2 linked regions of the Kluyveromyces lactis genome follow. The protein of the gene in region 1 interacts with the protein of each later gene in a pairwise test. Links are inferred from orthologs where the notes say so. Each region holds a gene or a part of one and is shown on either strand. Other genes may lie near its edges. The genes, in order: KLLA0_F03729g and THI4.

Region 1 (4,450 bases):
GTCGAAAGTAGCCACAGATAGTTTGTAATGACAAACATGTATTCTTATGTTATACATATCACTTGTGTAAGGTTGTGTGCAAAGTAAGATTTTGCTATTTCATGGTTTCAATATCTACATAAAAAATGGTATGTACGCAACTTGGAAGCACCTTTTAAACTTACTTCGAGATTCTTGTCTTCATGTTTTGTAAGAATTCTCTGTAGTTCCAGCTGTTTTGGACCTTATCTTCGACCAACTGAGATGCAGTCCATAATCTTAGAGAAGCAACTTCCCTGGCAGAAGGATGGTTCATTGGTTCACTTGGTGAGGCGCCTCTGACAATGTGCAAGGTTTTGTAGAAGATAACATCATCGTGTTCTCTTATCTTTGTAATAACATTCCTCACTCTTAGGTTGAACTCAGTAGCGTCTAATAGAGGTAGTTCATTTTTACCAATTGGAATTTCCATAATGTCCGGGGTTCCAAACACGTCTGTAACAAGCTCTGGGACAGCATCACCGCCAATCCATAAGAACATGTCCAATCCTGTGTCGATTAAATACAGACCGTATCTTTCCAATAAAGACGAGGTGGAGTTAATTGGTTGCGGTAGTACAATTTCACCAGTTTCTTCATCGGGAAGACCAGCTTCGTCAGGCATGTCATGTAAGGAGTATACTGTTGGATAAATGTTTTGAATCAAATATGGCAATGGTAACGTTTCAAGATTATTTAATGCTTGAGCTCTGTGATCAGCCGGAACAATACCAGAACGGAAAGCCATATGTTTAGTTAGAGAATGCATCAATAGAGGCCACATTCTTAGGTTACTACAGAGCATTAATGGAGCTCCGCCACCTGTGTTTGAAGTCAAAACTTCTTTCTTGTATGTAGCCAAAACCTCTTGGACAGATTTGTTGAAAAATTCTCTAGTGTCTTCAAAGCCAGAAGAAGGAGCTCTTTCCACAGCCTTTTGAGCGAAGTATGCTGTGATGGCCAACTGATCTGCAGAAGCATAGACTTCAGTTAGCTTATCAGTAGTTGGAATACCAATAGTTATGACTCTAATTCTTCTTTGGGCAGCATTGGATGTCAATAATAAAGCAATTTGAATGTACACAAAGTCCTTTGTTAATTGTTCATCGATACCAATTTCAAAAACGTATGATTGGTCCCTTGGAACCGTAGCCAAAGCGCACAAGTCTGAAGATCTATTGAAGAAATGACCGTAAAATCCGGTCATTTTCAAGCCTGACGAACCACGAGCTCTCATAACAGCTTCCAAAGATAGATCCATGGATACGTGTTTTGAAAATTCTTTTGAGAACTTTGTAACATCGATCAAGTTTAAGGCACTGAAACCAGGGTAGAAATGGGTTTGGCCACCAGTGAAACGGCCTAGGTTAGAGATAGATGCGATATCGACATAATCGTCGGAAGCCATAAACATATCCACCGTAACTTGATATTTGTTACATTCGATAGGGAAAGATTTGTAGAATGCGTCACCAGTGTTCAATAAAGTGGAAGCTTCCTTGGAAGTATTTGCAACAGCCTTTTCATTTCTCTTATGTAATGTACCTTCACCGACGTTGGCCAAAGTGGCACCAACAACAATAATCTTACCACCCTGAGCTCTGATCAAGTTCAAAGCAGACTTTAGAGCAGAGGCCAAGGCAAATCTTGGTTGAATATTTTGTTGGAAAATTTCTGGTAAGCTAGTCAATAATTTTTCAATGTTGCTTCTAGCCTCAATTAGTGGAACCAATAGGCCAGTGGGAGAAGGTAAGAATGGTTCATCCAAGTCAGCGACGTCGTACATCTTAATGTTGTCACCTTCTTCGTCCAAAGGAATACGGAAGTAATGTAGAGATTGATCAACACAAATAATAGAGATTCTTGTTCTCTCATCATGGTTTGGAATGGTATCCAAGCTTTCCAAGAGAGTTCTTGCAGCAGTAGCCAACAAGCCATTCTTGATTGATGCCTGAGAAACGTCCAAAATGAAAGCGTAAGTGGATGGTGGTGGTGGTCTGACAGCGTATTCTTTAGGAGCAACGAAATCCACAACAGAATGGTTGAATTCGGGTCTCTCGTAACGGTTACCATTCATATCAATTGCTTGAGGGAAGTTGTTCGCCAAGTTACAGAAGTTACATCTCCAACGTAAACCATTCTCGATTACTTGTACGAAGGGGTTCAAGTAGGCACGACAACGTCTACAACGAACCACAACACCGTCTTCGCTAGTTGGCACTGGACATTCAGAGTCGGTTAACTTAGTGTATGGTCTGATAACCATAGCTAATGGTAGTTTCGATTTTTTCAGTAAAGAATTGTTTTTTGGAACGGCGTTCAAAGTGCACCTTAAATGGTCAGAACAATTGTTAACTGTATCGTTAGGAACAATCATCTTCTCTGGAGGGAGCATCAACGGTGGTGGAGGCAAAGACAAGTCAGTGATTGGAGGAGGCAATTCTTGGAACAAATCAACTGGGTACAATTGATTCATTGGTTTACCCACAGCCATTCCTACTCCTGGTTGTTGATATTGTGGTTGCTGCTGCTGTTGTCCGTACGTTTGCCCATACGGCTGTTGCATTGGCTGCTGATACTGCTGCTGAACACCGGATATGTTATCGGCGCCGTAGCCACTGTTCATTGGCTGGCCATATTGAGGAGCCCCACCGTATGGTGGTTGTTGCACCGGGGTTCCAGCTTGCTGGAATGCAGTAGGATCAACCACAGGAACGTTGTGTAATTGCATATTACCAATGCCGTTACTTGCTTGGTCGATCTGTTGATGCAAATGTTGTTGAGCAGGAGTCAGAAATTGCGGCTGTCCAGCACCTACAGTTTGCGGAGGAACACCTCCACCAACAATTGGCTGTGCAATCCCTTCTGCAATTTGGTACTGAGCCTGAGGATAAACACGCTTCTTATGGTGTGACATGGTTCAGTATAATTTGATCTCCTGTATCACTCGATTGTCTGTAACTCTTTCTCTTTTATCTGCAAAAAATACAATGCAAAGAGCCTTCTCCTTTATAAACTTCTGATAAGTCGCCTAGATCCTGACACAGTTATTGACTCTACCAAGTTGAAGATCCAAAAGAGTAGATGCCTCAATCGATGGCAATTGAATATCAAATGTGTGTATTGTTTTTATAATTTTCGGCCCGTTTTGTTATTGTCGAAGAATCGAAATTTGGGTTTTTGGATTTTTGAAATTTTTTTTTTATTTGGTTTCCTTTCAAGATAACTGCTAAATAAACTGACGCGGTTTGAGAGGCTTTTTCCAGCGTATGTATATGGTTGCTGCTTTATTAGCCAATTGCTCAGTCGATGTTAGCTACATATATTGTATTTCTTTGATCATTGACATATGTGTATTGTATGCTGCAGTTCGTATTTGTATATTGACAGCTGTCAGATTTTAATAATAATATTCGGGTAACATCATAGTTCGTGTTCTCTCAGAATCACATAGTTAAGTAATTAATGTCGACGTGGTCATTGTAGAAGATAAAACTTTCGGGCAGATTGTGGGTCACTGATACTCCCTCCAGACACTGTACGGGCTTTAACGAACCTACCTGTGGTTATGCAGTGCTTTATTTGTTGATGGATATTTAGAGATATAAACCTTGCTATATCACGTGATATGAAAGTTCGAGGTCTGCTTATTTTATTTACAATGTGCGTAGATTTTGGATCAGATCTTTAAACAAGATGTCTCGAAGGTAAAACGATTTTAAATACGAGCAATCCATCCATTGTTCCTAGTATTCGATATCATAAGGTTCTACACTGGTAATTCAGCTAATACCTGTGACTGACACTCAAATCTGCTTCTTTTTCCCACTGGTACACCATAGAATACCCTTAATTAAATCAAGTGATGTCCCAAATCCAATTTTACAACATCAAGAACGGAGAAGAGGTTCATACACCCGCACTTATTGTCCACGGAAATATAAATACAAATGCCAATTCTGTCCAAGTGCATCATTCGCAGCTCCCTCCCTTAACGTTTCCCGTTAACAACCACGGATTCAAGTGCATTATTTCTTTGACTCCTGGTGAAAACTTACTATGGTTCACTGGAAATGACAATTCTACGGCGCAATTAACTATTCAATACGTACCATTGTTACAGAACCCGCCAATTCATCTATGTCTACTACTCGCTAAAGATTCTCCTCTGAAATATGATGCACCAGCTGTACAGATTCGTAAGGAGGGTGGTAACGGTCTCGATTTGGCCATAAAGAAATTGAGAACTGGTGCACGGATCATGCAAGCTTTCACTAATGAACAAATGGTTCGTAACGGCGTCGGTCAAAGAACTTTCCGATTCGTGGAAGAATTCACGAAGGATACCCTCCTAAAGGATGACGAGTTAAGAAACACCGTTAAGATTCATATTCTAAAAAGTGAGAAGACTACCGTGGAGCTAAGAGATATT
Region 2 (3,215 bases), on another chromosome or scaffold:
AATGGCCTTGGAAGTTCCCTTACACCACCATTAACAACAAACGTTTTAAAAATTAAGTAACCAGACATTGTTATTCATGTTCAATTTTCATAAGATTTTCTTCTTATTAGCGCTCTCGTTTTATGACAACACTCAGATACTTTTTCGTTTCATCACTAATTAACAATACGGTCTACTATGCAGTAGAAGTTTTCAACAAAATATTTCTGCCGGAACTAAAATGCTTGTTGAGGGAAAGTACTGACATGAAAAGCACTTTATTTAGTAAGGTTTTATGCATTCGTTCCTCTTTGTATAAGATATATTTTTAATAACTGATCGGTATAGTAACGTCTGCTTTTTGTGTTTTTGTTCATAGAAGGTACCATGGAGTGACTCGGTACATTAAACTTGTAGCTGGCTGATTATTATGCGACAAAATCTTTAGAAGTCTGAAAAATTCCCTTCGAAACAGCAAAATTGATAGCTCCCCAATTGGTATGCTGAAGTATTTATTAAACATTTCCTTGTGATTTCATGGAAGAAATGTTCAGAGGCCATTAGCAGTCATAAAGTGTGTCGATAAAAAGCTATATAAAACTAGACACTAAGTAAAAAATTGAGGTAAAAATCCCCTTGATTCAATCAAGCAGCAAAGTGCTTCAAGATATCTTCAGCAGCCTTGATACCACTAACAGCCATAGCACCGAAAGTTGGACCCATTCTATTCAAACCAGCATGTTCAGCAACTTCCATACCAGCAAAGTAAACTGAACCAACCTTATCGTATGCACCAGCGTTCTTAACAACAGCGTCTTCAGCTCTGTTCATGTCCAAACCCTTCATACCAGCGTAGGACTTAGAGGAATCGATGGAAGCCATACGTTTAACAGTGAAAGCACCAAATGGACCATCGTGACCACAACAAGACAAGATAACACCATGCTTCTGTGATAAATCCCTTTCGCCATTATCCTTGTAACCAGACAATTCGATGACGTTTGGATCCATACAAGATTGGGTGTCGTGATTTTGAGTGACTAGAGTCCAGTTAGTAACAACACCAGCGACGTTGACGTGCTGAGAATTATCATCGGCTGGTCTGGTGACAAGATCTTCAACTGCAGTAGCATTGAACATCTTCACGTTAGGGAACTTCAATACTTCACTCAATACAGTAGACATGAACAAAGCAGCGTGTTTAACAACAACGTAATGACCCTCATCTTCATATGGAATGTTCAATTCGTCCAAGAATTTGTCTGCTGGTTTACGCATGATCATGGCAGAGAACAATTGACCTCCTAACCAACATCCACCACCTGGAGCAACGTTGGCTTCAATAATGGCAATTTTCAAGTCAGGTCTGTTCTTAGCAATGACGTATGCAGCAGATAGACCACTTGAACCTGCACCAATGATAACAACATCGGATACGGCGAACTTGTCCAAATCTTTGAAATAACGAGAGGTCATTGCACGAGAAACAGTTGCTTCCCTAATTGGAGCAAATGCAAAGTCTGACCAGTCGTCTTGTTTGACAACATCAGACAAACAGTGTTCGACACTTTGAGATTGGACTGATAGTTTGTTTTGAGTTTGAGTTTGGGTGGTAGACATTTTTGTTCTGTTGTTGCTACTTGTAAAGTATCCTTTGAATTTAGCTGCTACTGTTCTACAGCGAGAATCATTGATATAACACAAATATAATACCAGAAGGTTAAAAGGGAAAAGGTTGAAAGAGTGGGCCTTTTTATAATTTTAGTTCTCTAACTAGAATGCTCACTGCCTCTTAAACTTCGAACAAAGACCGTGGTTTCACGAGGCTTATCGTCACCCACAACGTTGGTTGGACATGAACCTGTTAGCATTCCATACCATATTACTTTGCCTTTTTTTTTTTTACTGTTAAAACTAATTTCCTTAATGTCTGTACCCTTACTCCGTTATTATACGAATAAGCGTCAGTTAGGAATATCTTGTTAACAGTGATAGAGATATCCGCCAAGGTTCCATGAAAATTGGCTGATTACCAAATCGAGAGTAAACGGGAAAGATAATCGTTCGTTTCCAAAAGAAAAATGCCCCCAAACGTTCTCTTTAACACATCAGTTGATCGCTCAGTAGATTTTGTCCTTTTTGTGAGTATTAACTCTTGGCCTTTAGTTGAATTTCTACCCTTTCTATCGCTGCATATAAAAAAAATACTGTTTTCCAGAGTAACTCTTAGAACAGGCGACAGTTTTTTTTTTGTTCTTTTCCAACATTACCTGCATCCCACACAATTTCCTTAAGGGACATAATTGCTGACGAGAGCATCGTAAATTAACATATACCTGTGTGTATGGTCTGGCGTTTGTCGATAGAAGACCTCATTGGCTGCCATTATTTGCAATTTGAGGTATGAACCGAAAACGAAGGTTTTTAGCTCATCGTTGGCGAAAAAACGTCAGTTTAGGGTGCAAAAAGTAAACTTGGTTGGAAAGAGATACAGGTAGCCCAAGATAGATGACGCAGTAGTACAAGATTTCTGAATTGAAATCTACATTTCCGGTCCATTGAAAGAGTTGTTTGAATTTATTTCGTGTTAAGATGTGGTAGCCTTTCTTCCTTCATTTTCAGTACATAGATACGTGAAAGGCGATTGGAACTATCCACCAGATCAAATTCGGTTATCCTATCCTTAGAATTGGCACTGACATGCCAACTTCTATGAATCAAGAATTACTTTTATTTTTTGGTACTCTAGGTGGGAAAGGCACGCATTGATTCACAATAGAGTGTCCAACGGTTTGAGACATTTTGGGTTGGCTGTTTCGACATCCAACTAGAAATAAATCACGTTTTGGTTATTTAAGTGAAGACAATACTTTGCCAGTTAAAATGCATAAGCCTGTGACTTGAAATTCTAATATTTGAGAGATTGTGAAGTGTCACCGGCTTTGGGCGGTTGGTTCTCTTCCTTAGAATACTTACCAAAGGGGTCTTTTTTACGATGTCGTTCATTGTATTGCATTGTTTTTTTGACCTCAGCGCATACCCATAATATCATTCGTCAACAATAAAGTCTAAAAAATATTAAAACAGTGAGGCATATCAGATTATAGGTATAATGTAGGCTCCTTAAGTTTAAACAAGGTTGTACCTACTTTTCAGGCTGAACATACCAGCATCGCTCGAAGGAAACGTTGTAGATATAGTCATATGCTGCTAAGGTGAATTGCAAAAGCAAAACC

What was found.
Region 2: the proteins of KLLA0_F03729g (region 1) and THI4 interact in a two-hybrid assay, tested with the Schizosaccharomyces pombe proteins (2 studies listed by BioGRID). The link is inferred for Kluyveromyces lactis from reciprocal best matches to the Schizosaccharomyces pombe genes sec24 and thi2.

Annotation. Positions count from the first base shown.
Region 1 is NC_006042.1:351,556-356,005, forward strand, and holds KLLA0_F03729g (uncharacterized protein), read right to left. Parts: upstream 2,936-4,450; coding exon 161-2,935; downstream 1-160. Other genes in the region: KLLA0_F03751g (putative metalloendopeptidase), read left to right, coding at 3,884-4,450. UniProt on the Schizosaccharomyces pombe protein: Component of the coat protein complex II (COPII) which promotes the formation of transport vesicles from the endoplasmic reticulum (ER).
Region 2 is NC_006037.1:13,613-16,827, forward strand, and holds THI4 (thiamine thiazole synthase), read right to left. Parts: upstream 1,600-3,215; coding exon 625-1,599; downstream 1-624. UniProt on the Schizosaccharomyces pombe protein: Involved in biosynthesis of the thiamine precursor thiazole. Catalyzes the conversion of NAD and glycine to adenosine diphosphate 5-(2-hydroxyethyl)-4-methylthiazole-2-carboxylic acid (ADT), an adenylated thiazole intermediate.